4 linked regions of the Canis lupus familiaris genome follow. The protein of the gene in region 3 interacts with the protein of the main gene of each other region in a pairwise test. Links are inferred from orthologs where the notes say so. Each region holds a gene or a part of one and is shown on either strand. Other genes may lie near its edges.

The links.
Region 1: the proteins of ARR3 (region 3) and GNMT interact in a two-hybrid assay, tested with the Homo sapiens proteins (2 studies listed by BioGRID and IntAct). The two-hybrid records come from large-scale screens. The link is inferred for Canis lupus familiaris from reciprocal best matches to the Homo sapiens genes ARR3 and GNMT.
Region 2: the proteins of ARR3 (region 3) and DVL2 interact in a two-hybrid assay, tested with the Homo sapiens proteins (2 studies listed by BioGRID and IntAct). The two-hybrid records come from large-scale screens. The link is inferred for Canis lupus familiaris from reciprocal best matches to the Homo sapiens genes ARR3 and DVL2.
Region 4: the proteins of ARR3 (region 3) and ZNF496 interact in binary tests that used the Homo sapiens proteins (3 or more experiments, as listed by UniProt). The two-hybrid records come from large-scale screens. The link is inferred for Canis lupus familiaris from reciprocal best matches to the Homo sapiens genes ARR3 and ZNF496.

What each region holds. Positions count from the first base shown.
Region 1 is NC_049233.1:11,686,965-11,691,137, reverse strand, and holds GNMT (glycine N-methyltransferase), read right to left. Parts: upstream 2,840-4,173; 5' UTR 2,804-2,839; coding exon 2,598-2,803; intron 1,834-2,597; coding exon 1,706-1,833; intron 1,279-1,705; coding exon 1,162-1,278; intron 954-1,161; coding exon 811-953; intron 703-810; coding exon 581-702; intron 498-580; coding exon 326-497; 3' UTR 113-325; downstream 1-112. UniProt on the Homo sapiens protein: Catalyzes the methylation of glycine by using S-adenosylmethionine (AdoMet) to form N-methylglycine (sarcosine) with the concomitant production of S-adenosylhomocysteine (AdoHcy), a reaction regulated by the binding of 5-methyltetrahydrofolate.
Region 2 is NC_049226.1:32,403,248-32,405,851, forward strand, and holds part of DVL2 (segment polarity protein dishevelled homolog DVL-2), read right to left. Parts: intron 2,511-2,604; coding exon 2,365-2,510; intron 2,235-2,364; coding exon 2,125-2,234; intron 2,020-2,124; coding exon 1,884-2,019; intron 1,751-1,883; coding exon 1,660-1,750; intron 1,530-1,659; coding exon 1,460-1,529; intron 1,374-1,459; coding exon 1,234-1,373; intron 1,157-1,233; coding exon 1,080-1,156; intron 539-1,079; coding exon 471-538; intron 341-470; coding exon 212-340; intron 121-211; coding exon 1-120.
Region 3 is NC_049260.1:54,910,111-54,914,165, reverse strand, and holds the start of ARR3 (arrestin-C), read right to left. Parts: upstream 2,803-4,055; coding exon 2,729-2,802; intron 2,464-2,728; coding exon 2,433-2,463; intron 2,302-2,432; coding exon 2,241-2,301; intron 2,047-2,240; coding exon 2,002-2,046; intron 1-2,001. UniProt on the Homo sapiens protein: May play a role in an as yet undefined retina-specific signal transduction. Could bind to photoactivated-phosphorylated red/green opsins.
Region 4 is NC_049229.1:261,620-265,184, forward strand, and holds part of ZNF496 (zinc finger protein 496), read right to left. Parts: intron 923-3,565; coding exon 790-922; intron 523-789; coding exon 415-522; intron 1-414. UniProt on the Homo sapiens protein: DNA-binding transcription factor that can both act as an activator and a repressor.

The sequences.
Region 1 (4,173 bases), on a different chromosome or scaffold from region 3:
AAGATTGGAGTGTGAAAAGAGCTAGTTTGTGGAAGGACAAAGCCCCAGGGGAGGGCCAGGGAGGGGACGGTGGCGGGAGCTTGATCCTTCCCATATAAACACAAAACATGCAGAACTGAAAAAGGCACAGACTATATTGCTACTACTTCCATTTGCCCAAACCCAAATCCTGCACCCACAACAGCAGTCTTGCCCCTCCCAGCACCCCAGGATCTGCAGGGCTGGGGCTGGGCCGGGTATGGGACTGCTAGTCCCCACCTCCCCAGAGAGATCTGGCTGGCCATGTTGGCTGGAGGGTTGTAGGAGCTGAGGCCAGGTTCAGCGCTCAGTCCGTCCTCTTGAGCACATGGATAAAATAGCAAGGAATGGAGGCCTGGCCCGGCTTGTAAGGCTTGAAGTCACCCAGGACGCTGTGCTGGCACTTGCCCCCAAAGGCTGCTCGTAGCAACTCCGTGAAGGAAGCCAAACGGTGCGGGTAGTAGGACAGCCGGAACTTACTGCAACAGAGCCCCCAAGCAACCATGAGGACTGGTGGCCTCGGCACCACCCCCCTTCACCCGCTGCCAAGCCCAGTGGGTACCTCAAGCCAGGAGAACCATCCTGACCAGCCCCTGGCACCTGCACTGTATAGTCCAGGGTCACCATGTGGGCCTTGTTGTTCACTGTCAGCACTGATGTGGTGATGTCCTTGGTCAAGTCGCTCTGTAGGTAGTGGTGCAGGCTGTATTAGCCTTGGCAACCACTGCAGGGCTGGACCCCAGGATCACATCCCCCATTCTGGGCTTCTCATCCCACCCCCAGGGCCCTCACCTTATAGTAGATGTTCTTTCCTGGGGGTGCACAGCCTGTGCTGAGGATGTGGTCATAGTTGCGATGGTCAATGACCAGCAGGCCCCCTGACCGCACCATGCTCGCGATGTTCTTCAGTGCCAGCCGGTGCTCACTCTGATCTCCTGAGCTCCAGGCAAGGGCAAAGAGGCTGCGTCCGCTCAGGGCCCCAAGCACCAGTCTCCCTCCCAGCTTTTTCCTCCCCAGGGATACAGACGCCAAGTCAGGGAGGAGCAGAAAACAGTCTGCTCTGGCCAGGATAGCAGGCACCCAGGGGTCTGTGAAAAGAGGTATAGCTCAAAGGGCCAGGCTCCAGGGTACACTCTGTCTCACCTTTGCAGTCTGGCAAGTGGGCAAAGCTGTTTCCAAGGCAGATGACAGCATCGAAGGCACCCCCTGGTGGCTGGGGCACATCTTTGTCCAGAGTCATCCAGTTGGCTTCTTCAATGACTGGGACCAGGAAGGGGAAGGAGAGCTCGAGGTGGCATGGAGGCACCAGCAGTACCCCTCTCCATCGAGTGCAGCCCTGCCTCAGTTTCCTCTTCAAGACACATGGGGATTCCCCATCCAGTTAGGAGGAGGGGATTATTATGGATATGGAAGGTGAAGGGGAGGAGGGGTCAAGGGGGCGGGGAGGAAGCTGTGATGGGAAGAATGGCTCTGTGCTTACTGGGTTTTATTTGGGAGAAGACACTTATAATCAAAACTAGCCCCTCATTACCAGATACCTCATTCTAGTGCCTAAGCCTCCCTTTCTGGGGAAATGAAAGTAATTTTGCTGTCCCCTTAGGGAAAACAAACACCCGAATTTGCACAGGAATTAAGAGCACTGGGCCCTGGGGTGCCGGGCGGGGAAGGCCTGCCTGGACGTGCGTACCCCACTTGTCGAAGGCTGGCTCGTGCCGCCGGTTCCAGCGCTCTTTAAGTGCATACTTCAGCATCTTGTCACTGGCATCCACACTGGTCACGCTGAAGCCCTCTTCCACCAGCATGATGGAGTCCACCCTGGGCAGGGCCAGAGGGGAGAGAGGCAGGGAGGGGCAGTCAAGGGGCCTGGGAAAGGCAAGGAGGAGGTCCTGTGCTGGACCCTTCTGTCTCCTCCACTCTTGGCTCCATTCCTCTTCTTCCTCTCCCCAGGCCCTCTCCACTGATCTCAAATGACCTGGCAAATGGGTTCCCTATCACCAGGTAGCAACTTTGGGGTTTTGTTAGCATCCCTTCAGAGCCAGGCACTCCGTCATTGTGCATTAATCCTCACGGCAACCCTGTGAGGTACATGGGGTTTCCCTCGCTTGAGAGATGAGGCAAACTGAGGTCCCTGGAATTCAGGAACCTGGGCACGCGGAAGTAGTACAGCATCTCTTCTCCACTAGGTAGAGGGGCCTTCACCCCTCTGGGGCAGGATTTCAGCAACTCTAAGTGGGACATCACTGCATACATCTTGAGGTTTTCTGAAGACCTTAAAAATGGATGTATCCAAAGCTCCTGGCACAGCGCATGGCACGGCCAAGTATCGAACGAATTGTTAACTGTTAACACTGCCCAAGGCCACGACTCGGGAGCTGTGCCAGAGCCAGCACCCAGGAGAGCTTACATCGGTCTGGTCCCAAAGCCAAGCCGCCGCCGCCGCCGCCGCCGCCGCCGCCGCCGCCGCCGCGCCGCCGGGAGGATCCGGCCGTCGGCATCCCGAGTCCCCACCTCCACGCTGGCTGTCCCAGCCCCTCCTCCCGGCCGGCACCCCCACCCCCAGGGCCCCGGCCCGCGCTCACCCGGTGCCGCAGGCCACGTCGAGCACCCGTTGGCAGCCGTGCTGGCGCAGCAGCCCGAGCAGCCAGGCCTTGTACTCGGCCGTGCGGCTGCGGGTGTCCCCGATGTAGAGCTGCCACACGCGCGCCGCCTCCCCGTCCGCGTACTGGTCCGGGAGCCCTTCGGCCGCCACCCCCAGGGAGCGGGTGCGGTACACGCTGTCCACCATCCTGCGGCGCGCCTGGCTCCGCCGCCGCCCGCCCGCGTTTATAGCGCGGCCCGCCCGAGGCCGGCCGCCCCACCTGCCCAATGGCAGGTGAGCGCGGGGACACGCCCCTGCCGGGCTGCGGCCTCGGGGCGGGGGCGCGGCCGGGAGGTCTGAATAGGCCCTTCTCGCCCGCGGGAAGACCAGCCCTCTGGGCGACCACCCGGCGGCAAAGGGCCCTCCCTGCCCCACCCACTGAGCCAGGGCCCCGCAGGACCCGGAGGGGCCAGCCGCGGTGTGTGCGTGGGGGAGGGGAGCGGTGAGGCCGCCCACCCCACCGCCGCCACCTAAACTGCAAAGGAAGGAAAGAAAACTTCCCAGTCCACGCCGAGCTCAGCGCTCGGACGGTATTAGCATATCTAAAGGAGGCTTGTCCGGCTGGAGGAGGGCCTGGAAGGGAGGAAGAGGGCGTATCTGGGGATAAGAATGCTGGAGGGGCCACCCAAGTCCAGGAGCAGTTCTAGTCCAGGGGATCGTCTGCCCACCTGGAGGCAGGTGCTCCTCCGGCCTGGAGGTGACGCACTGAGCTTTTCCCTGAGTCTCTAAGGCGACGTCCGACCTTTCCTCCCAGTTCTTTACCGACTAGCAATGCTTCTAAGCACTTTTTGCTGTTTGAGGCCCCTGTTTGAAATCCAGCATCTCCACCAAAAATCAATCAATCTTATTTTTTAAATAAGATTTTATTGGGACGCCTGGGTGGCTCAGTGGTTGAGAGCTCGCCTTTGGCCCAGGGCGTGATCCTGGAGACCCAGGATAAAACATGGAGCCTGCTTCTCTCTCTGCATGTGTCTCTGCCTCTCTCCCTCTCCTGAATAAATAAAATCTTTAAAAAAAATTTTTTTAAAGATTTTATCTATATGAAATGAGCAAGAGAGCATGAGCAGAGGGAGAGGGAGAGGGAGAAGCAAGCTCCTTGCTTAGCAGGGGAGACCCACTGGGGGCTTGATCCCAGGACCACGAGAGCATGGCCTGAGCTGAAGGCAGCTGCTTAACCGACTGAGCCACCCAGTTGCCCCTTAATTTTTTTTTTTAAGATTTTATTTTAAGTAATCTCTGCACCAAACATGGGAATGGAACTCACAATCCTGAGATCAAGGATTCCATGCTTTATTGAGCCAGCCAGATGCCCCTAAAAGTTGATTAAAAAAAAAAAAAAATTAGAGGGGGGATGGGCAGAGGGAGAGAGAATATCAAGGGTGCTCCATGCCCAGCACAGAGCCTGATAGCAGCCCAATATCAAAACTCCTGAGATCAGGACACTTGGGTGGCTCAGCGGTTGAGGTCTGCCTTTGGTTCAGAGTGTGATTCCAGGTCAGAGGGTCAAGTTTCGCATC
Region 2 (2,604 bases), on a different chromosome or scaffold from region 3:
TAGGGATGGTGATCTTGAGCCACATGCGGTCTCGAACTTCCAGTCCAGACTCCGGAGCTGCCATGGCCTTGGTGACAGATGCCATGTCCGTATGAATGGACAGACCCCGGCCCTCACAGCCTATCGGAGAAGAAATGAGGAGTAGAGACCGGGCCACACACTGCTGAAAGGCCTCCCAGGGAGGGGAGGGTGAGGTGGGCTGGGGGCTCACCCTCGGGCAGAGAAGACCCGGATGTCATGGTGCTCATGGACGAGGAGCCCGGGTAGGTGGGGAAGGTGCCAGTCAGTGCAGCCGAGTGAGACACCCAGGCAGCTGGGTCGATCGGCTGGATGGGCTCATCTGGGACAGAGAAGGTCCCCACAATGATCGTTTCCCTGCCACTCCCCAACTGAGACCCCGACCCCCATCCCACCTCTGCCCTGACCCTCCTCCACCCCTTCCTGTCATCCTCCTCCCCTGTAGCACTCACTTCGAGGAAGAGTGAAATAGGCCTGGGGAGACGGATCCCAGCACTTGGCCACAGTCAGCACAATGGGGCTGTGGGGAAGGGGAGACGCAGTCAGGCAGGGGCGGGGGGGATGGGGCGAGGCTTTGCGAGGGTGAAGGATGGACAGAGACACAGACAGACCAGGCTGGAGAGCTGAGCCTGGAGGCATCAGTGAGGGTGACCCACCAACACAGACAACACTAGAAATGAGGCTGAAACACAGAACCACACACACTCTATGTATGGGTCCATGCAGAGCCAGTCCAGGTCACAGAAGCTGAGCCCGCTGATCGAGGATGGGGACGGACACATGCACATGGACACACACACAAGGGGAGGGGAGGCAAAGCAGTGCAGTGATGACAGATGACAAAGGACACCAGGGCAGCGCTCCCTGCCAGGGAGACTGGTGAGGGGACTGCAGACTCTGGAGCACAACCCCCCAGCTCACGATCAGGTGGGGGTCATGCGGGCCATCCTCTGCCCCACGGTGATGTCACGTTATGGCTCAGCCCCTCTGGACACGCACCACCACGCCCATGCTAAGGGTGAAGCCACGGGCACCAGGAGAGCAGATGAGAGGTGGCTCACCCCGGCTTGTGCACGATGTCCCGCAGCACCCGCACTGCATCATCGTTGCTCATGTTCTCGAAATTCATGTCGTTGACCTGGAAGCCAGGTTGGCGAGTGAGTGTGGGTGAGAGCTTGTGAGACGTACCTGCCCCCCAGATCCCCCACAGGGCACCTGCAGCAGCATGTCACCCGGCTCGATGCGCCCATCGGCTGCCACCGCACCGCCCTTCATGATGGAGCCAATGTAGATGCCGCCGTCGCCCCGCTCGTTGCTCTGGCCCACGATGGAGATGCCCAGAAAGTTGTACTTCTCTGCAGAGCAGGCGCCCATGACAAGGAAGCCAGCCAGCGTTCCCCGGGGCCCCCGCCCTGGACCCCCAACCGGGGCCCCCTCGTACCCATGTTGAGTGTGACTGTGATGATGTTGAGAGACATGGTGGAGTCAGTGACGCTACTGAAGGACGAAGCCTAGCGGGGAGACAGGGAAGGCTTGGGTTGCCTCCAAGGACCCCAGATTCTCACTTTCTGGGCCCACATACCCCTGAGACCAAGGCTCCCTACGCCTGTAAGACGCAGCCATCCCGTGAGCTCCCCTCACCCTCTCCAGGCGGGGTGGCCGCTGTTTCCTCCGCCGCCGGTGGCGCTTGAGGAGGCGAGAGGCGCTGCTCTGCTCCGTGGAGCTGCTGAATCTGTCCGGAGGAGAGGAAGGGGAGTGCTGGCTGGCAGAGCAGGTGGGGGGGGGGGGGGAGGGAGGCAGAGACCAGCTTGGGCCTGGAGGACATCACCCGGTGGCGCTGGGAAGTGCAGGGCTGGGTGCCACACCTGCTCATGGTGTCATCCTCATCGGAGTCCCCCAGGCTAGTGCTCTCCAGCTCGCTGGTCATAAGGGTTGAGGAGCTCTCATACCCGGCCAGGTGGCGCTCCAGCCTCGAGGGTCCACCAGGCCTGTGGCCCCCTGCTGTGGAAGAATAGAACCTTCAGGGACCTGGCCTCAAGCTGCCTCCCCCATCACAGGGGGGCCTGAGCCCAGCCCCCAGCTCCTGGGCTCCTGGGCCCCCCTCACCACCGTGCTCACTGCTGTCTCTCCTACGAGGCCGTTCCCGCCGCAGGGACACCACTGACTCGGTTTCCGTCTCAGGCTCCAGGTTCTCCCGGCTGCTGGACACGTTAGGGCTAGGTGGACAGAGATGGCATGCGACCGCGTCAGGGGGACGGGGCTCCGTGTCCTCAACCTCCCCCTGCCCAGGGTCTGGGGTCTCCTCCTTGCCTCCCTCCCCCGGACTAAAGAATCCCAGAGACTCACTGGAAGGACGGAGGCCTAGAGTCCCCGATGCCGCTGGTCCTCTCCGGTGGCAGGGGGGGTAGCGGTGGGGGGGGCGGTGCCAGCTCTGCCCGGGGCTCGTGGGCTGGGGGAGCCATCTCGGGTTGGGGGTTCTCTGACGACACCAGCTGGAAAGATGCAATGACAAAAACTGACTCAAGCAAGGAGGGAGGCAACCGAGGTGGGAAGACAGGAAGAACACAGGGTCTGAGCAAGCACGTG
Region 3 (4,055 bases):
TCATATGGTTTCACTCATATGGGGAATATAAAAAATAGTGAAAGGGATTATAGGGGAAACAAGAGAAAATGTGTGGGAAATATCAGAGAGGGTGACAAAACATGAGAGACTCCTAACTCGGGGAAACGAACAAGGGGTACTGGAAAGGGAGGTGGGCGGGGGGATGGGGTGACTGGGTGATGAGCACTGAGGGGGGCACCTGATGGGATGAGCACTGGGTATTATACTATATGTTGGCAAATCGAACTCCAATAAAAAAATACAAAAAAGACCAAAAAAATTTAAATTTGTGTCTGTTATACAAATAATACATAGTAATTGTATGAAAATCAGAAAATACAAACAAAAAATGATTCAAAACTCTGTCATCATACTTCGTGTTGCAGAAACTACTGCTGTTCATATCGCTTGCAATTGCTTCTCAGCTTTGTGTCTATAATTAAACATCAGGCTACCTTAGATATTTGTGACATTGCCTATTTGAAAGTGGACTTTTTGAGATTGTTGTAGATTTACAAGCAGTTGTAAGAAATAATACAGAGAGATCCCATATAGTTTTTTGTTAAACAGTATATCTTTCACAGGACCACGTATACTGCCCTACAATTGGCCTTTATCACTCAGTAGTATAGTATAAGCATATTTTACATCAATAAATGAAACTTGATAGAAAAAAATATTAGAAAATATGCAAACAAAATTATCTTCATAAAAGTAGCAAAACATGTAAAATAGCTAAGGAACAAACTTAAGAAATATATACAACTTAAACGAATAATAAAAAAATTCTTTTAGGAACATAAGAAAGATTTGAGTAAAAGGGAAAACACATATTCCAGATCAACATGCATTTTTTTACGCTAAATATTTCTTTCTGTAGGTTATTCTGAAGATTTTGTAGGAATGTGAGAAAATGATTTAGGTTTTTTTGTTTTTGTTTTTTTAGAAATACAGAGTAATTGAGAATCTCAAGTTGGTTAATTTAGTGGGTATTCCACAGAATTCCTCTGATATTTAAAACTGGCTGGATGGCTTATCCACACTGTTTAGTCAGAAAAAATAAGGTTATTTTTATCTCACAGTATCTAAAGGTTATATTTGAACTAGTATTCATCAATTTATTCTGAGCCTTTTTCAAGTCAAACCCAACTTTCAAACTTATTGAATCACAAACTAAAAGAAATTTATTAAAGCAGTGCAAAAATATTTCAATGTAATCTTGATCTATGGTGCTGTGGCCGGAGTAATGTCTCTTGTTGTTACTTGCTGGTGCTATGGTTTTCTTTGTTTGTTTACTTGGGATTTCCCACACACACACCCAGAAAAGACGGGGTTTCCCTACACAGAAGAGGTAGAAAGATATATACCAGAGGTTGCAAAATGTCAGTCTAAGGGTCACATCCAGACTAATGAAAAATGTAAATTTTTTGATCTATCTAGACCTTTAAAAATCTTTTAGTTGGTTGCCAACATTTGAAAATCATGAAATTTTCGTGAAAATATGGATTTCTGGAATACTGCATCTTTCCATAGCCAGTCTAAGCCCACATTCAGTTCAGCAACAAAGTAGAGTACCATGAAAAATAATAAAGAAAATCAGAAAGCTTAGAAAAAATCTATTTGAATTCCAGCACACATATACATTTTGTATACTTTTGAAAAATAAAATTTTATTTATGTTTTAGAAATAAACCTATTTTGAATATTATTTGGGGGAAGAGGTACCATAATCTTTTCAGAATTTAGGCCTCTGAAGGTCTTATTCTGAGCTTCATTTCCAGTTCCTGTCCAACAACCAGAAAATTTGGCCACACTAGGCTAAAATTCCCATTTATTAACTCCCACCAGACAAGGCATTCACAGTTCTCACCACGTTTTGGTTTTCTTCTACCCCTCTGGTCCATTCGTTTAGTCTATTCATTTAAGTTACTTGTCTGGCGTGTGTGACATTTCAGTTTGGGATCCCTGGCACATACAAAGGCCAAGAGAATTTTTACTTACTCTTTCGACCCTTCAAGTAATCGGGGTCAACCAGGACTACACCATCTGTGTAGAGAGCGAGAGACGGTACCATGGTCAGGAAAAATCCTTAGACTATGAAACAGAAATCCATCCCTGAAATAGTTCCTCCCATTTTCCCCTTGAATTGGCCTCCTCTTCTGTATGTTCCTTTCTTGGCTTTTAGTTGCTGGCTCCCATTCCCTTCTCCCCAGGTTCTTTCCCTTTTTAGACTCACTGACCAATGGGATCCACCATGTCCACATGGTCCACGAAGTCCCGTTTCCCCAGGTAGATGGCAAGCTGTTGTGGAACAACCTTGCGTGTTATTATCATAATCATCTTTGAATGGCTTCCCCTGAATCCTCAAGGCAAACCCTTGAGACCTCTCCCTTTTGCCCTTTCATTTGCCTGGCTAGGCCAGGTTCTCTCACCTTCCCATTGGAGCAGGTCTTCTTATACACTCTATAAAGAGAAAATCAGAAAGAAAATAGGGAGGGTCATTGTGAAAAAAGGGAAGAGGAGAAGAAGGAAGTGGAGAAGAAAAGGAAGTATTCTTAGGATTAGGAGAAGAGGCTCAAGGAGCATGAAATGGTGCAAAGGTGGAGGTAATTGGGATAGAGTTCAAGTTACAAGTTGAGAAGTTGGAAACTCCTCTACCACAAAGCAGGTACTTGGGTTTGGATAGGGGACAAGTCACAGATTCAGAGAATTAGGAGTTCTTACTTACCTTGAGATGTGAGCCATGAAGTTGATGTTGAGCCTTTTCTGAGAAGAGGGAAAGAAGGAGGAAGGCTCAGTCATTTGGTCCCAATTCTTTCTCCAGGATACAATCCAGACATACCTAGTGTGGTGTAACCTTTCCTTGTTGAATAGATACCTCACTACCATTCAAGTGCCTTATATTCTCCCTCCTGCCAAGGTTACTTATTCAGTCACACTCTCACCCATCCCAGACAGGGGAAAAAAACCCTATTTTTACAAATTGTTGACTAACCACTCTGTCTATTCTCTAGAAATGGCATGGCTTCCTGGAATAGCTGGGACACTCTTGACCACCTTCACAGAGAAGGAATTTGTCTCAAAGCAGGCTGGAGAGAGCCCTCCATCAAGACAATTTGAGGAAAATTTGACTGGATGAGGCTGAACACCACCTGGCACACAGTAGGTGTCAAGACATGTTTGTTAGATACGCAAATAAATGAATGAAGAAAAAATGGATTCTGTCTGCTTTTGTCCTACAATAGATTCTGAACCTGAGTTCATCTCACGGTGGCTTTAACTCTCAGTTAAGAGAGGAGAAAAGTGTGGGAGAGAAGGGGTTGGAGCCCTCATGCTCTTGGTTGTTGGTGGCAGAAACCTCTAGAAAGCCTTCCTTGAATCTATTCATCACTCTCTTCACCTTCCCCCAATTTTCTCCTTCTTAGCCTTATCTGTGTCCCCAGGTGAAAGGCCTTGGAGTAGGGATCCTTAGAGAGAGGGAGATGTCTGTCTAGTGCTTCTCTTTGTTATATATCATGTCTGGCCTGAGGGTGAGCTCCAGGGAGCCTCCAGAGGTCTGTCACAGGGTCTCTCAGGCCAAGTGCCTGCTGGCTGTGTCATGAAAGATGCCCTCAGATGCTCCTTAATATATTCATGGGGATGCTAAAGGCAAGGGTATATGGGACCTGGTATGGGTTAGAAATAGAGGACTTCGGACTATTACCTGGGGAGAGAGATGAAGCTCACATCCGTCTCCAGCTCTGGTTGCTATGCTTACCTCTCCAGCCTTTTATACTTGAGGTCCTTTGAATATTTAGATTGGTGGGGGTCAGAGAAGAAGAGTAGAGTTGGGGGGCATAAAACACTGTTTTATAAATAGTTCAGGTGCCAAGAGTTTAGAAAGCAGATTAAAGGCTAAAAGATTAGTGGCTAAAGATTAGCAGGTTCTTGCTGCTGGGACAGGATAGAGGTAGAGAGTTGAATCTGATAGTGTTAAAGTTAGGGGAGCTTGAGAAGGGGAACTACAGGGTTTTGGCCTTAAGACTAGAATCTAAGGGGAGTCGACATTAAAGGAA
Region 4 (3,565 bases), on a different chromosome or scaffold from region 3:
CAAGGCGTTGGGGCCCGGGGTCTGCAGAAGTGAGCTCGGCTGACACGGAGCCTGGGGCAGGGAGCAGCGGGGAGGATGCCTGCCCTGAGCCCCACGAGGCCCTGCTCCTCTCCATGCCTCAGTGTCCTCACAAACCCCCACCTGCCTTCTGGGGAGTACGTGGCCTCAATCAGGCAGGGCCGCCTGGTCAGCCTGAGCCCAGTGCTGCTTACAGCACAGAGGGCGGATCCTGTCGCATCCTAGTCTCTGGTGAGGGCAGTGCTGTGCACCACCACCATCACCACCCCCCACCCACAACCGCATCCCCAGGGAAAACTGCAATCCCGTTTTCTGTCTGGCAAGAGATGTCGGAGCCCGAGAATGCAGGGGCGACATGGGGCTGCAGACAGGGCAGGGCGTGGAGAGCGTACTTACCCAAGTAAGAAGCCTGGGCCACATCCTTCCCCTGGGGGTCCTGAAACTCAGGGACCTGGGGCTCACTGTCCTCCCCCTGGGAAAGTGCCAGCTGGGTGGCCGAGTCACCTGTTTGCAGATGGGGGACACACGTCCATCAGCCACGTGCTGCTCCAGGAACCAGGGCTGGGGGCCAGGAACTCACACAGGTCGGCAGGGGCTGGGGCCAGCAGGTGGGGCCGGGGTACCTCCCGCAGGACTCCCCAGGAACCAGGCACTCGCCAGCCAGGCCAGCCTGAACCACATGTGGTTGATCTGTGAGGTGCCCCTGGGGTGGGGGTGAACATCAATGTGACACTGGCTCCCTGGTCTCAGGACAGAGGATGGAAGTCTTACTTGGAGGCAGTGAGACACCACAGTCCTCCCCAATGATGAACTCTCCATAGAAGCCCGTCTGAGCAGGATCTAGAAGGGACCAGTCCTCTTGTGAGAAGCAGAAGATCATGTCCTCGAAGGGCGACAGGCGGCTCTGAAAGCACAGCACAGTGGGGACGCCTCAGGGCAGAGCCAGCCAGGGCTGGGGTGGAGGGGGTAGGGAGGAGGGTTGTGGTGCAGAGGGGACACTAGCCACAGGACAGAGCGGGGAGGCTCCCCGGTTCTAGCATGAGATCCGCCTCACACACTGCAGGGTGCCCCATGGGGCGGCCAGGGACACGCAGGCATGGGCCCTCCTACTGCTGCTCAGGTGGTGGGCACCCACATGTCCTGGGGGGCCAACAGGGAGCCTATACGTGTTGTCCACGCCTACCGGCAGCCAGGCTGTCAAGCGCCCCACTGCGGTGAGGGAAGGCAAACACCTCCTGCACTGGGAGCACCCCCCGCATGAGGGCTGAAGGGGACTCTTTTCTCACACTTGGGAGTCATGGGCCATGGGAATGTGTTGAAGTTCATTTTAACTTGAAACATGATGGTATTTGCATATAATTACAGGATCCCACAAAAATAAAGAAGTCATCCGCAAATGGACAGTAACATGACAGAAGGATTCATGGTAACAATAAATGTCATTTAAAAATTATTCCTTTTGGGCACCTGGGTGGCTCAGTGGTTGAGTGTCTGCTTTCAGCTCAGGTCGTGATCCCGGGATCCTGGGATCAAGTCCCACATCAGGCACCCTGCACAGAACCTGCTTCTCCCTCTGCCTATGTCTCTGCTTCTCTCTCTGGGTCTCTCATGAATAAATAAATAAAATCTTAAAAAAATTATTCCTTTTGTTTGTAATAACCTGGAACCTTGTAACTCAGACAAAATTTGGGAGAACTAAAGTGTGGAAGAGCTGCCGGTGCAGCTGATACTTGTCTGGGCATGTGAGTGAGGACGTGTATCAGGAGTGTCACGATGGACACAGACATTTGCACAAATTGTCCATGTACAGCTTTCACTGGATGTCAGCTGATAATGGTTGTATTTCTCCACAAAGTGTTCCCATTACAAAGGATTTAAAGTAAAATTCCATCTTGAGTTAACCAAATAGTAAGACATTTGTATAATATACATCGGTTTTAGAAAAAGAGTTCATGGTATTTTAAACAAACGTCCTTGCATCTGCCTCATTGCCTCCATTTCTGGAAGATTCCTTGTCAGGGCCGTGTGGTTGCCTCCAACCTGGGGTGACCCTGCTCTCCATGAACCTTCTTGGGGTTTACTGGCCAACCTGCTTTTGTCTACTTCGAAATGCTTATTTTCTTTGTCTATTTTTCTATTTTCTCATGGGTCTTTTTTTTTTTTTTTTAATTTTTGCTTAAAAAAAATCAGAACAAAACAAAACCAAAAAAACCCTTAACTGAAAGGGGGAAACAATGGCTTTCAGAAAATAAAAATAAAGACCATGTAAAAAAAATAACGGGCTCAGGGAAACACTGAGTATGTAACGAAAGAGTGTGGATGAAAGTTGGACAAATGGGAACGAACTAGGCCGTCCATGGAAGGAAGGCCCGTGACCCTTGGAACCTTCTAGACCATCAACAAAAAGCCACAGAGCCAAAAAAGAAAATATATGACAGAAAGTCCATCTTGACTATGAAAAAATGTCTAACAAACTGTATCAGTGTCCTCAGTTTGATGATGCTTGGGAAAGACGAGTGAGATCTCATTATGACTCTGTGAGCATCATCACTATGGGCCAGAGGCCGCTCCTGGGCACTGGATGCCGTCCTTTCACCCCTGTCTACGAGCCCGCAGTCCGGGGTCACCCCCACCCCCCGATCTCATTGTCTCATATCAGACCGGGTCACCCCACTTTCAGAGGACCCTGGCCCCAGGACTGTCCTCTGATTGTCTGGGGACTTCTGGGGACTTTCCAAGCCCTGGGGCCTGATGACCTGGCATGCAGGGGAGTCCTGCCCACAAGGTTGAGGGGTATCCCTGCCTGCCCTTCCCTCTCCTCCTCCTCCCCGCGGCCCCAGTTCTCCCCAGGGTGGTCTGGGGTCTGCGGGCGAGCAGGTAGGCTGCAGGCACCTAAGGGGTCAGGACCCCTTGTCCCTGGCCTTCTGCTCACCCCCCAAGGACTCAGTTCCCAGACTGAGCAGCAGCAGGGCCAGGGTGAGCCTGTGGAGGCCTGGGAGCCAGCTCCCCCACACTCCTGTCTGTTCCGTAGGTCCTACAGCCACCCACCCGCAATCATATTCCTCCTCTGACGTGTGCAGTGCAGGACACTTTCCTGGAAACAAACCTGCTTCTGGCTCTTGGGACCCTTTCCTTTCCTGGGGTCCCTGCCTTCCATCCCAGTTCCCCTATCACTGCTCCTCTCTCTCTTAGGGGTTCGTGCACGGGTCTCATCTAGGATCTAACAAGTCCACAAACGGATGATGGTGCTACTGGGGGTCCAGCCCAGGCCATCAGGCAGTTGCTGCCCCCGATCCCAGGGGCCTGGCCACCAGGGAACACCCCCAGGCTCAGGCTTGCGCAGGGATGGCGCAACCCACCCATCCAGCAGGGGGTGGGGCCAACACCCCTACCCAGATGCCATAGTCCTGTTGCTGTGCACCTGTCAGGGAAACGCAGAGGCTGCTTGCAGGCAGCCCTCTGTAGCCCTGGAAGCCTGAGTAAGGTTGGAGGGCCTCCATGGCCACAGGCTGGGTGCTGAGGCCCTGAGGTGGCCCACCCCAGTCGC